2 linked regions of the Lonchura striata genome follow. The protein of the gene in region 1 purifies or fractionates together with the protein of each later gene. This does not show direct contact. Links are inferred from orthologs where the notes say so. Each region holds a gene or a part of one and is shown on either strand. Other genes may lie near its edges.

Evidence for each region.
Region 2: the proteins of PFDN4 (region 1) and PDRG1 purify together in Homo sapiens (co-immunoprecipitation; 3 studies listed by BioGRID and IntAct, counting the BioPlex papers as one, with this or other methods). This does not show direct contact. The link is inferred for Lonchura striata from reciprocal best matches to the Homo sapiens genes PFDN4 and PDRG1.

Annotation. Positions count from the first base shown.
Region 1 is NC_134619.1:2,289,915-2,297,536, forward strand, and holds PFDN4 (prefoldin subunit 4), read left to right. Parts: upstream 1-4,880; 5' UTR 4,881-4,961; coding exon 4,962-4,985; intron 4,986-5,725; coding exon 5,726-5,833; intron 5,834-6,265; coding exon 6,266-6,409; intron 6,410-6,665; coding exon 6,666-6,797; 3' UTR 6,798-7,087; downstream 7,088-7,622. UniProt on the Homo sapiens protein: Binds specifically to cytosolic chaperonin (c-CPN) and transfers target proteins to it. Binds to nascent polypeptide chain and promotes folding in an environment in which there are many competing pathways for nonnative proteins.
Region 2 is NC_134619.1:7,630,337-7,637,075, reverse strand, and holds PDRG1 (p53 and DNA damage-regulated protein 1), read left to right. Parts: upstream 1-4,631; 5' UTR 4,632-4,677; coding exon 4,678-4,761; intron 4,762-4,859; coding exon 4,860-4,935; intron 4,936-5,110; coding exon 5,111-5,185; intron 5,186-5,484; coding exon 5,485-5,565; intron 5,566-5,879; coding exon 5,880-5,962; 3' UTR 5,963-6,229; downstream 6,230-6,739. Other genes in the region: XKR7 (XK-related protein 7), read right to left, coding at 1-259. UniProt on the Homo sapiens protein: May play a role in chaperone-mediated protein folding.

The sequences.
Region 1 (7,622 bases):
TTTAATAATTGTAACATATTTGAATAAAGGTTGGAAATCCCATCAAACTCAGAGCTCCTGCCCTGGATTTAAGGGACAAGGTGTGCTTGGGAAGCTCATCAAAAACAACATCTGAACTTCCAGAGCAAAACCTTGGAGCTCATGGAAAATTACCTGAATGATTTTCATGTAGTTCACTTCAAATTAAGCAAATATCACCAAAGTAACTCCTCAGTGGGAAACAGCTTTATGTTGGGAGTGGATTTTCACTCTTAATGCCTGTAACTCCAGGAGGTTTGCTCTGGACATATCACACAATTCCTGTCTCCTTGCCTCGGATCTTTCTCCTGGTTGGGAAAAGCTTTTTTTGCTAATTTGGCTTTAAAATTTTTGTGAAATCTCTGAGTTTTCTAAATGAATACAAAATGCTGAAATGCCAAAGGAGCAGATTAACAGGGAGAGTGTCGCAGGAAGGTATTTCACAATGTGGGGAAGGCAAATTGATTGCAACTTGCAAACTCTGGTTGTTATTGCAGGGTTTGCTCGTGTTTGTTTATATACTTTTAATTCTGTGTTAATTCTTTTAATTCTCTTTCCAGCTGAGGATCTCTGAGTTTTGTAAATATTGATGGGAAAGTACAGTAATTCCCATTCTCTGGAAGAGAAACTGAAATGGTTTTGAAAATTGAGATCTCTAAGATATCCACTTTTGCTGTGAAATGAAAGCAAAAAAACCCCTTTATTCTATTTTCACTCAAATACTGGTTTTAAACATCAAACTCCTCTTCTTATGTCCCATTCTGGATGATTACTCCTCTCCAGGATGGCAGTAGCAGTGGATGAAAACTCAAATTCCACCAGCCCAGGAATCCTCCAGCTGGCCATGACTTGTGTGGGGTTATAAACATTGCCACACTCCACTACTAAAGGAGCCTCTAAATCAGTGGTTCAAGAAAATGAAGAAGATTATTGACTTAATTCAAGCAAAGATTGCTTAAAAAATAAAAATCGGGCCATCTTTCTTTGTGAAGAAACATTTATTATCTGCTTTAGATGAGCAAGCAGTGCTTCATGCACTGCATCTTCTAGAGAGGAGCTTCCAGGGGAGAATCAGGGAGAAAATGGTGAAGCAGACCAAGAAACCGAGGTCCAGGAGAAGATGCTCTGAGAGTCAGCTTGGAATTACTCAGGACTTGGCAGGTTTTGCTTTTTTTTTTCTGGAAATTAGAATCACTCACTGGGATGTTACAATTTCTTGTCTCTTTTAGCAATATTGCCCTGCCTGAGCAGGGAAGGGTTTGTGCAATAGTTACTGACCCAGGCTGAATATTTCTCTTTGAACAGAAATCTGGAAGCTTTTGTCACCTTCCATGCAGAGCTGTGGAAGGCACATTTATTTATTTTTAAAAGCAGCAGCATTTAGGAATCCCTGGAAGTGTCCCAGGCCAGGTTGGAAGGGTTTGGAGCAACCTGGGATAGAGGAAGGTGCCCCTGCCTGTGGTGGGGGGTGAAATATGATGATTTTTGAAGTCCCTTTCAACTCAAACCACTCTGTAACTCCATGAATATGTAAAATCTTGGTGAATTTTTTACCCATGAGGTAATTAATCCTCATTTCACACTTCTCACAGAAAAAAACTCTGCTGAAGAACAATAATTTACATTCTTCTTTATGTGCAGTTACACATTTAGCCTTCTGCCACGGCATTTCCATGCCTTGCCCACATGTAGTTGACACCCAAAGCAGCACTTTTGTGATGGCACTGAAAAATTCTGAGTATTTCCAGTTGTAGTGGAATTCATGGTGAGGTTGCTTTTTATTTAACACGAGGGATTTTGAAAGAATGAGGGCAGAAAGGTGAGAAAGTCTGCTTTCCTTCCCTCAGATTACAAAATAATGAAAGAAATCCTCACTGTGGGGGATTTGCCACATAAATAATTAGGAGATGTCTCTTTTTTTTTGGAAAAGATAAACACCCTTAGAAAAGGATTTTTTTTTTTTACTTCAAGCTCCATTCCCCCTGCAATGCTGGTACAAGAATGGCAGACACAAGGACCTGCACTCCACAGTAAATCCCAAATATTGTGGGAATGTCACAGCCACCTCCTTCACCACACTGGCACGACTGAAACGGGACAAATTCGTGTGGCTTTTGCTCAAAGTGGTCCCCTCCATCCTGGAGAAACAACCACTTCATCCCCATTTCCAAGTCACAAACCGTGTTGGTGTCTGAGGGTTTGGAGATCACCAAGGCCTGAGAAAGGTCTGTGGAGCTTCAGGGAGAGGGGAGAAGAATTTGGGAACTCCAAAGATTTCCATGAGGCAGGGAGAGGGGAGAAGAGTTTGGGAACTCCAGAGGTCTCCATGAGGCAGGGAGAGAGGAGAAGAATTTGGGAACTCCAAAGATTTCCATGAGGCAGGGAGAGGGGAGACAAGTTTGGGAACTCCAGAGGTCTCCATGGGGCAGGGAGAGAGGAGAAGAATTTGGGAACTCCAAAGATTTCCATGAGGCAGGGAGAGGGGAGACAAGTTTGGGAACTCCAGAGGTCTCCATGGGGCAGGGAGAGAGGAGAAGAATTTGGGAACTCCAGAGATTTCCATGAGGCAGGGAGAGAGGAGAAGAGTTTGGGAACTCCAAAGGTTTCCATGAGGCAGGGAGAGAGGAGACAAGTTTGAGAACTCCAGAGATTTCCATGAGGCAGGGAGAGGGGAGACAAGTTTGGGAACTCCAGAGGTCTCCATGAGGCAGCAAAGCATGGCAATGCATTCCCCAGCGAGCTGCCCTGCAGAAGGCTGGAGCAAGGAAGGGAAAATGTGCAAAGAGCCCCAGAGGAGCCGTGAGACGAGGGCAGGGCGTGGAAGGGATCCCAGGAGGAGAAGCCAAACAACAGCAGCAGGGAGCAGAGCAAGAAGGAGCAAGTCCTTTATGCAACGGGAGAGGAGCGAGGGCGCTGGGTTCAGCGGGTTCCTCTCCTTCCCTCCACGCTGCCTGGCTGCACTCGTGAGCTGTTTTCACTTTTATTTACATAAGAAAGGTCTGCAGTGAGTTACTCTTGGCAAGGCTCACTCCGCAGAGCCTGCCCGAGCGTGTGGGAGAATAAAAAGGATTTCTTTTCAAAGCCTTGGAGTCATCAGATTCTTGTGAAATCCACTCCTTTTCTCTTGGGGGAAGCTGCACTGGCTCCGTGTGCTGGGCAGTTCCTGCAGCTAGGGAAATACCCGCTGTGTCCTTTCCTAGCAGGAGGGGTGAGGGTTTGTTTTCTGAGGAAAAGAGAGGTTTGGAGCTGGGATTATGTTTTTATAGAAATTAATAATAAATAATGCGCTTCTCTGGGGAGAAATTTGGTGATGAACTTCTTTCCTCAGTGGGAAGCAAGGCACGGTGATTATGATGATGATGCACCAAAATAAAATGTAACATCAGCCTGAGGAGCACCCAAAATATCCTTTATTATCCTGTCTTTCCCACTGGTTTGGAACTGGAGTTGTGAAATGAGCAGCCATTCGGAACCGAAAAACAACCAAACCAGAAATCATTTTATTTCAGGCAATATTATAGAATTAAGTATCCCATCCTACTCCATCCCATCCCATTCACCCATCCCATGGATCCCATCCATATCCCACTATCCCATCCCATCATCCCATCCCATCCCAATATCCCATTATCCCATTATCCCAATATCCCATTATCCCGTGGATTCTAATATCCCAATATCCCATGGATCCCATCGCAATATCCCAGTATCCCGTTATCCCAATATCCCATGGATCCCATCCCAATATCCCAATATCCCAATATCCCAATATCCCAATATCCCAATATCCCATGGATCCCATCCCATGGATTCCAATATCCTGTTATCCTGTTATCCCACTATCCCATGGATCCAAATATCCCAATATCCCGTTATCCCAATATCCCATGGATCCCATTATCCCAATATCCCATTATCCCATGGATCCCATCCCATGGATTCCAATATCCTGTTATCCTGTTATCCCACTATCCCATGGATCCAAATATCCCAATATCCCATTATCCCAATATCCCATGGATCCCATTATCCCAATATCCCATTATCCCATGGATCCCATTATCCCATGGATTCTGTTATCCTGTTATCCCATGGATCTCATTCCATTCTCTCATTCTCCCAATATCCCAATAGTTATCCCGTTATGCCGTGGGTCCCAATATCCCAATATCCCATGGTTCCCATCCTGTTATCCCGTTATCCCAATATCCCAATATCCCAATAGTTATCCCGTTATCCTGTTATCCCGTTTTCCCAATATCCCAATAGTTATCCCGTTATCCCAATAGTTATCCCGCTATCCCAATAGTTATCCCAATAGTTATCCCGTTATCCCAATAGTTATCCCGCTATCCCAATAGTTATCCTGCTATCCCAATAGTTATCCCGTTATCCCAATAGTTATCCCGTTATCCCGTTATCCCAATAGTTATCCCAATAGTTATCCCTCTATCCCAATAGTTATCCCAATAGTTATCCCGCTATCCCAATAGTTATCCCAATAGTTATCCCGTTATCCCAATAGTTATCCCGTTATCCCAATAGTTATCCTGCTATCCCAATAGTTATCCCGTTATCCCAATAGTTATCCCGTTATCCCGTTATCCCAATAGTTATCCCGCTATCCCAATAGTTATCCCGCGATCCCGCGGGTCCCACCCGTTCCCGTCTCATGGCGCCCCCTGGCGGACCCGCACGGCGCCTGCCGCCCCTCCCACCGGGCCGTACCAAGTGCTCCGGGGGCGCCTTCGCATCCCTCCGAGCTCCGCGGCCGCTCGGGACATCCCGGCGCGCTGCCAGCGGCGCCCATAGAGACAATCCCCGATTTTCCCAGGGCCGCGGCCTTTTCCTGGAGTTTTTCCTTTTCCTCCTTCTTCTCCCCGCGCCCGCTGCCCCCCCTGTGCGCGGGTGGTTCAGCCCCGCATGGCTGCTGCAGCGCCAACATGGCCGCCACCATGAAGAAGGCGGTGAGTGGGGAGCGGGCCCGGCGGATTCGCTCCTTTCCAGCAGCATTTGCTCCCTTCCCGCAGGAATTCCATCCCTCCCGAGGCTGCTCCGCGGTGTCCCTCAGCCTCGGACGCGGCCGGGCCGAGCCGTGCCCAGAACGGCGCGGCCGCCGCTCGGGAGCTGAGGGCCCCGGGCTCGGGCGGCTCGTTTAAACAACGATGATAAACAGGGTGGACGTGAGGAGAAAATTGTTCTCTGAGAGGGTGCTTAGTTATGGAATCGTCGTCATCGTGGCTTGGGTTGGAAAGGAGCTTTAAATTAATCTCATTCCATCATTGCACCTCCTGCCATGGCAGGGACACCTCGCACTGTCCCAGGGGCTCCGAGGCCCGACCTCCCTCACAATTCTTTCCTAAATATCCCTCCTGTCTGTCAATTCGCAGCCATTCTGCTCTGCATGTCACTAACTGCTCCTGTTCATGGTGTCTCTGCAGAGAAAACTCGGAGCAGGGTGTTCAGTTCAGCCGCCAGTGGCAAGGAAACTGTTTTGCCTTTAGGATGGCAGTGTTGTAATTGGATGTTCCCCATCTAAATGTGGGTATTTCTGGTGTTCTTGAAGAGGCACTTTGAGCAATCAGGTGCATAAGCAGAGTGTGGTGTTTGCCAGATTATTTCCCATCACTTTGTAGGAGCATCCTTGCAGTGAAACTCAAATTAATATAAGGACACAAATCATCATTTTTACCTCTCCTCCTCACAGGCTGCAGAAGATGTCAATGTCACCTTCGAAGATCAACAGAAAATTAACAAGTTTGCAAGAAACACCAGCAGGATCACAGAGCTGAAAGAAGAGATAGATGTGAAAAAGGTATATTTGCTTTAGATCTCATGAGCTTTTCGTTGGATTTTCAGCTGGAACAGAGAAAATTAGCAGCAGTGAGTTACTGTGAGTTCAGGTTATGCTTGGGTTCTGATATGAGGTTTCTTATACTTTGGAAATAGAGAATGATAAGATATCATATTAATTAATAAATGCCACTAATATCAGATATTAGTGACATTTAAACCTGTATTACCCTTGCTTGGACAGTTAATTATTCCGTTAATGACAGATAATGAGTGCTGACTTGGGGTTTTTACTGGATGGAATTGCTGAATTCCAGCTCTGACTCTGATCTCGTGGATGTCCTGGTGGTGGGTGGGATTTGTCCCCGGACTCCAGCCTCTCTGGCCTCCTTACCCAGCTGTGCCCATGGAAGGGCTTTACACAGGGAGCCTCTTTCTGTGTCCTGGCAAACAGAAGCAGCTGCAGAACCTGGAGGATGCCTGTGATGACATCATGCTGCTGGATGATGAAGATTCCCACCTGATTCCCTACCAGATTGGGGATGTCTTCATCAGCCACTCCCTGGAGGAGACGCAGGAGATGCTGGAGGAGGCCAAGGTTTGTCTGGAGCAGCTGGGCTGTGCTGTGAGCTGGGCACTGGGGTGGGTCTGTGCACCCTCTGCAGCTTTCTCAGTCTGAAATTTGGTTTGGTTTAGGATTTGAACTACTCCAAAGGCACTCCAGCAGTGAATCCTGCAGCCAGACCTGGGAATGAGTTGGAAAAGAGGCACCTCTCTGCTGGTTCTGTGTTGCTGACAAGCCTGGCTCAGTTTGTTGCACAGGATTGATTTGAATTTATTTTTTTCTTTTGCAGAGGAGTTTACAGGAGGAAATTGAGGCGCTGGAATCCCGAGTGGAGTCGATCCAGAGCGTGTTGTCTGACCTCAAAGTTCAGCTCTATGCCAAGTTTGGGAATAACATAAATCTGGAGGCTGAGGACAGTTAAAGCTTTTCTAAACACAACACCCAACTTTTCCTTAGGTTATTAAATGTTTTGATAACATTGCTGCAATTATACTGAGAACAGAAAATCCATCCCTTTCTTTTTGTTGATTTGTCTTTTTTTTTTTTTACTTCCCTGTATAAAGTTCTGTACATTTAATAAGAACTTCCTTATTTTGGTTATTGCAGTTATTTATTTATTCAGGAAAGCACCGACTTCACATTGCTGGCAAAGCATCAAAATTGGAATATTTGCGTGGTTTATTAAAGCAATAAAGCCAGGCATGTATTGGAGTTTCCTGGGTTTTGTTTTCCACTCATGAAAAGGTTTAAAACAAATGGAAGGAGGGAATTTTGGAGTGGCTGTTGGCTAAAAACTGTGTGACACGGGACATGATGAGGGAATGATGCTGTCCAGGGGTTTTTAAGAGCCCTCCTGGAGCTCCTAAATTCCTCCTCTGTGTTTCACCCTCAGCTCAGGTGTCAGGAGTTTGCCAGGGGACAAACAAGGGCTCTTTAAAGCTCAGTTTTGTAGTGAGGAAAAGCTTTTGGAGCCCCCATATTCACTCATTTACTGCTTTGTATTTGGGAATCCCAAAAACTGCTGCAAGTCACAGTGGTGAGTCTTAATTTCTAATTGTCCTGAACAGCTCCTAAATCCATATTTCTGTAGCAAATTGATGTCACAGTGGTTCATAGAGTCAGCATCGAGCCCTAATCTTTGCCTCCATCACTAGGAGGAGTTGAATGTAATTTTTAAATGTCTTAATTACCTTAATTTGTCTCTATAACCAAACAAAACACAAAAGGGGGGTGATTTTTCCAGGTG
Region 2 (6,739 bases), about 5.3 Mb from region 1:
GCGAGGGCAGCAGCACGAACAGCAGCGTCAGCCCGAACCACCAGCGCTGCCCCCGCACGTAGTAATGGGCCGCCAGCCACAGGTCCGAGGCACCGTCCGCGAAGCAGACGAGGAGCGCGCAGAACACCCAGCACCCGTCCCGCAGCCGGTACCGCCGCGCCGGCGGCTCCGCGCCCGCCTCCCGCCGCCCGCCGCCGCCCTCGGGGCTCTCCAGCAGCACGGCCGGGCCGCCGCCGCCGCCGTCCGACTTCGCGGCCATGTTGTCGGGGGAAAGGAGGAGAAAGGAGGGAGCGGGAGAGACTTCCGGAGGGATGGAGCCCGCCCCGGCAGCGCCCGCCCCCGCCGGCCTCGCCCCGCGCCCGCCGACACCGGCTCCCCCCGCCCGGCGCCGGGAGCCCCGGCGGGTCCCGCCGCTCCCCGCCGGAAGGGGCAGCCGCCCCCCCGCCGGCGCCGCGGGGTCCCGGAGGAGCGCTCGGTGCCGCCGGCGCCGCCCCGCGCTGGGAAGGGCGGCCGGCCCCTCCCCCGAGCGGCCCCCACCCCCCGGTCCCCGCCGGTAAAACCGCCCGGACCCGCCGAGCCCCGCACGGTGCGCCCCACCCCGTCCCGGCGGAACCACGCTGGCCGTGCTGTCCGACCACCCCTTCCCAGCCCACCGGGTACCGGAGCTTCCCGGGAAGCTCCTGGGTAGCCCCGCGACCCCCCAGCCCCGAGGCTCAGTCCAGGCAAGACCCTGCCCGTGAGTCCAGGCTTGGGCCGAGGTCCGGGTGGGTGGGGGCGTGGGTGCTTCTTCTCCCCTTGGGCTGAGACACGACCGCAGACCTCCAAAGCCCTGCCCGATGCAGCCAGAGAGGCCAGCAGGGACTGGCTGGGCTGCACCTGAGCCCTGCTTTGGAGGGAGACTCATAGAGTCATCATAGGATGGTTTGGGTTAGAAGGGACCTCAAAGATCAATTTGTGCCAACGCCTTACCAAGGGCAGGGACATCTTCCACTAGACCAGGCTGCTGAAAGAAGTTGTATCCTCTTTGAGAAGACCAAAGATGGGGTTTGGGAGTAGGCTTTCGTTGTTCCCGAAATGAAACTCGTGAAAGAGTTACATATGTTATTCCCCAGCCTTGGGAATGTCCCTGAAAGTGAAGTACCAAGGCCACTGGAGTCTGGGTGCACAAGAGCCCTGACGCTGCCCCGCTCCGGCGCTCCACCTCTCCGCTCGCTGCCCGCGGCAGCTCGGACACAAGGTGTCGGGCAGAGCGAGGGGCCGCACCCCGGGACAGGAGCTCAAAGGAGGAGCAGCGCTGTGCCGGCATCCCTGGCACTGCTGGGCGGGAAAGGGCTGCGAGGGAAAGGGCTTCCTCTCCTTTGTGGCGGGTCTCCAGGGAGGGTGACTGCATACAGCAGCTGCCTCCTGGAGGCAGCCCCAGCCCCCAGCCCCCGAGGCTCAGCCTGGTGCCTCTGCCTGCGGAGGAGCCCGGCTGGAGCCCGGCCCGTGGTCAGCACGCCGTGCCACATGGAGAGGAGGAGGGTGTTTGATCCCGGGAAACACAGCTAACTTCCAAATCCTGCCTTGTAGGATGGCCAGAGGGATCAGCACAAACCGGGGGTGGGGTAAGCCTGCATTCCTGGGATGAAATCCAGGGGGTGAAGATGTTACTCAGCACAAGGCAGTGGCCGGGCCCTCGGCAAGGCTCTCCCCGTGCTGCATGTATTAGCATCGATAATGAAACACCTCACCTTGAGATGCTCCTGACAGATCCCCTCCACAAATGCCTGCCTGGGGGAGGGGATGCTCCCAGCATCCCAAAGCCTGAAGAAAGCAGCCTTTCATCAATAACCAGGCAGGGCAGGGCCCCTTCCAAGGATGGGGTCCACTGGCCAGAGCCCCTGTCAATATTTGGCCACTCCAGACCTCTTTGGGCTTGGTCCCTGGGGGCTCTCTGTCTTGGCTGGGTGATGGAGCACAGACCACGTTACCATGACGGTGGGCACAGCGCCAGGGAGAGGGGACTTGGAAATCAGGGAGAGACAGACCCACCTTTCTCCCCTGACCCTGAAACACCCCCTCTGAAGCAGCAGTTAAAGATCCACAGCCTGAGAACATGGAGACCGTGGTTTGAAGTCTGATTTATCTTAACAACAGGCCCCAGCAGCCACATGAAAGAAGAAGAGAGAAAAAAAGCCTTATAAACATCCCTGAAGCTTCCTGTGCAGCTGCCAGCAGGCAGGGAGGGTTTCTGGCTGCATACAGAAAAGGGCTGCAAGGAAGAAAAAGGAACATGATGAAACCAAACCTGCTCTTTCCACAAAACACACAGCAAAGCAAAGCAGCTCCCGGCAGCGGGTGGGTGGCTGCTTCCCCTGAGTGCCCAGTTCCCAGGGAACTGGTCCAAATGGACCTCTGGTTCCAGTCTGAGTCCAGCCTCCAAGCAGAATGTCTGCCCCTGGTGCTGGCTCCAGGAGGAGAAATCCATGATGATTTGTGGCTGGCTCAGAGCTGGCTGGGGAGAGGCCGCAGAGTGCAGCACCAGCCACTTCTCACTGCCCTGAGAACGTTTTCCAGATGCCCATGGCTTGGCGATCCCTCAGCTGTGCTTCCCCCATGCCTGTGCTGAGCTGGAACCCACTTTCCCAGGGAGAGCAGCCCCTGCCCTTCCATGCAGCCCAACATTCCTGGCAAAACCCTGTCTTCACTGCACTGTCATTGGCAACCCCAGAGTCACTGTTTCTTTCCACTGCTGCCAGGACACAGCCAGCCTGCTCCCATCCCTGTTCCCATGTCACATCTCATCCCATCCCCATCCCCATCCCCATCCCCATCCCCATCCCCATCCCCATCCCCATCCCCATCCCCATCCCCATCCCCATCCCCATCCCCATCCCCATCCCCATCCCTCCTGCCCAGACTCTGAAAGCCCTCCCTCCTTCCTGCTTTTTCAGATCTCCAGCCAGCTGCTCCCACCGACAAATGAGCATTTCCTAGCATTGGCATCCAGCCCCAATCCCAGTACATTTTCTGGCTGATGTCAGGAAGGAATCTAACCCGAGTGTGGATCATTCCCAGCCTGGAGTGCCTGTGTGTGCCCCAGCAGTGGCTCCCACTGCTCCCCTGAAGCTTCTGTACTTCATTTGATGCAGCCACAGACAGAGATCTCAGTTAACTGAAACAAATGATCTTATGGGATTAGGGCCAGTAATCTTCCGATCTGGGTAATCTCCCTTAAGGGATTATTTGCCCACAGAAGTGTGGTGACCACCAGCCAGCTGCTGCCTTTCTCTCTCCATCCCTGTCCCCTGTGGTCCTCATCTCTGGCAGCTCAGAGGGGCCACAGCAGTGGGGTCACCACCTTTGCAGAGCTCCTTGTCAAATGAGTTTCATGAAGTGCATGTGCCAGGGCCCCCAAGTGCTGGGGCTCCTCCTCTCCCCAGCCCCTATTTGCTGCTTCAGGCAGGTTCTTGGGGCTCCCTCCCTTGGAAGCACTGATCTAAAGCAGATCAGAGGTCCCCCCACTATCACCAGGAAAGCAGCAGCTGGGGGGCACAGCCATGGTGGCAGAGATGGACAGCTGGGGACAGGGCTGCATTCAGAAACTTGAGATGCTGTTTCAAGGCTCTGTCCAGAGAAGGGACATGGGACATGAGAACCCATGTGCCCTGTTACCCGCCAGCCCTGGGTGTGCTCCTGGGGGCCCCTTTCCCTCTGCAGAGTGCACACGGTGAGGGTCTACCAGTCCTCACCATCAGTGCTGTGTCTCTGCATCTCCCACACCCCATTTTTGCAGCTCCTCTTGCTCATGGCTGGGTGGGGCAGAAAGAAAGGGATAAAAAGGATTTTGAGTGGCAATATATTTGCCTTCCTGCAGGCAGGGGTGTTCAGAGCAGCAGATGGATATGGTCGCCTGCCAGAGCATTCCCGGGACCAGCCCTTGCCTGACACAGACTGGGGGGCACCGGGGCTGGCTGAGGGTGAGTCAAGCTGCCGGGACCACAATTGGATCCAGTCCCTGGGGATGGCAGGTCCTGGACGCTGAGCTACAGATGAGCCACCAGCTGCACGAAAGGAAACCTGAGCTAATCGCCCCTCTCTGAGTGCCCTTTATTGCTTTCTGGGATGACAGAGAGGTCACCTGATGCTCCAAGGGCCCAGCTGCCAACAGCGGCACCGTGCTGGGAAAGCAGCGAGGAAGAGGAGACAGACGGCGGTGCTGGGGGCGAGGGGATGGGCTGTGAAAAGTGATAAATAATTCACACACAAAGGGACCAGGCAGGCCAGGGCTCTCAGCCCCTGTCCCTCAGGGCTGTGCCGAGCGGGGTGGGTTGGGGGCCGGCGACGGGGCCGAGACCCCCACTCCGGGGCTCGGTGCCACGCGGCCACACCGAGCCCTCCATCCTTCTGCCGGGCACAGAGGCAGCGCGGAGCCAACCGCGGCACCGCTAGTCTGCACTACGGAGGAGACCCCGCGCTGGCAGCGGGCACGTCCGTGCCAGTGCCAGCCCACGGCCGTTCCCGGCCGCTCTCGCCCCACGCGTGTTCGCGGCCCGTCGGTCCCGCCGCTCCCCGGCGGCGCTCCCGGCGGCGGCCGCCAGAGGGCGCGCTGAGCCCGGCGCCTCCGCCGCGGAACCGCCCGCGCGGCCGCGGCGGCGGCCCGGAGCCGGACGGCGGCGGACCCGGAGCGGCCCCGCCATGGCCCGGGACCCGGCCTTCGTGCTGCGCTACCTGGCCGAGGTGGAGGAGCTGGCCGAGGACGTGCTGGCGGCACGGCAGCAGGTACGGCCCGGCTCCGGCGGGCCTCCCCCGCCCCGCTCTGGCCCGCCGCCGGTAGCCCCGAGTCCCGGCCGCTCCCGCCTCTCTCGCTCCCGTTGCAGATCGTGGACCTGGACGTGAAGCGGAACCGCAACCGCGAGGCCCTGCGGGCGCTGCACAAGGACCCGGAGCCCGACGGTGAGGCCGGGCGGGCTGCGCCCACCGTGACCTCGTGGCCGCGGGTCGGGCTCCGCTGACAGCCCCTTCCCTTCCCTTCCCTTCCCTTCCCTTCCCTTCCCTTCCCTTCCCTTCCCTTCCCTTCCCTTCCCTTCCCTTCCCTTCCCTTCCCTTCCCTTCCCTTCCCTTCCCGCAGAGAAGGCCATGGTGTGTTTCGGGGGCATGTTCATCGAGCTGCCGAAGGCGAAGACCCGGGAGATGCTGCAGCAGGGTGAGCTCACCCCGAGGGCTCCGTGTAGCTTTAAGTGATTTAATCAGCACCGTAATTAACAAGATGTTGGCTCAATTAACGGACTTGTGCCCAGGGATGGGCTCTGAGGTGCCCAGAACCTCTCGAGAGGCTGATTCTGGCCCGAGCTGTGCCTTGGGAAGCACACGGGGAAGCTGCTCAGCCCCGGGGGTGGTGCAGGCAGGGTGGGACTCCCCTGTGCCTGTGTTGTGTCCCATGGGAAATTGAGCCTTCATCCCAGAGCCCACCGCAGTCCTCCTCACTCCCTCCTCTTATCCCAGACCAGGCAGAGCTGGATGAGGAGATAAACAACCTCCGGAAGGAGCTGCGGGTGAAGGTCAACCGGCTCTATGAAGCTCAGGGTAAACTCTCCCGCTGGAACCTGCTCAGTGCTTGGGAGCTGACTCGTGTATCAGCAGATTCCTTAGTTCCATGTGTTCCTGCAGCCTCTTTTCCACTGGTTTTGCAGTTCCCTCCCTGCCCCAGCAGCGTTGTTTGTCTCTGTGTGGAGCTGCCACCCAGCAGCATCCTAAACCCCCTCCAACCCTGTGCTGGGGTGACCCCACTTCAGCTTCCCGGGCTGTCCCTGCCCTCCCCACAGCCCCTCTCGAGTTGAACATGAACTGCTGCACTTCTTTGGTGACAAAATCCTGATGTTTTCAATGTGTTTTCTCAGGTAAACCTGAGCTGAAAGGGTTTAACCTGAATCCCATGTCTGCTGAGGAAATGAAGCTCATCAACCGCATCCTGGAGGGCTGAGGTGGCTGTGCCATTGTCACAGCGTGTTTGGCTGTCACTGTGGGCTCATGTTGCAGCAGCCACAGTCCTTGGGATTTGTAGGACGTTGGAGTGTCCAGAGCCCACCCAGGTGAGGGCCCTGGGAATCCTTTGCCTCCTCAGCTGCAGCTCTGCAGTTTCTTTGGACCACAAACCCTTTCCTGCTCTGTGCTGGGTCTTAGCACAGTGCTGGGCAAAGGCCCACAGCTGGGGTGGAAGTGGGATCATTAAAATCAGAGCAGTGAGACATTCCTGACTCCATGTGCATGTTCCTTGTTGGGGGTTTATGTGAACACTTCTGGGGCTTGGCTTCAGAGCTGCTCCTTTGTCACGCTGGGAACAGGAGTAGGAGGGATTGGGAATCCTCCACATGCCTGAAGCACAGAAGAGGAGTTGTGCACGCCTGTGGCATTCAAACAAAGCAAAGCTGTACATCTGAGGCACGTCAGGAATCTCTAAGGATGTGTAGGGAGGAGCAGGAGGAGGCAGCATCCTTTTAGTCTTGCTGGGAAAACATGTTCCACTGTTGGAGGGCAGGAGATGACAGAAATGAGGCTTTCAGGACTGGATGAACTCATAAAACTGGGGTATGTTTTAAAAAGCAGCCTGAGGAGGGCTGAGCAGGAATAGTCACTGAGTTTGTCTTGTAGTAAAAGGACAATTGATGTCATTAGTAGTAGTTTCTGCAAAGGTTTTAAAATTTGCTGTTTCTGTGCTCCTCCAAGTGATTAACTTGGTCAAGAACATAAGTTTTTAAAA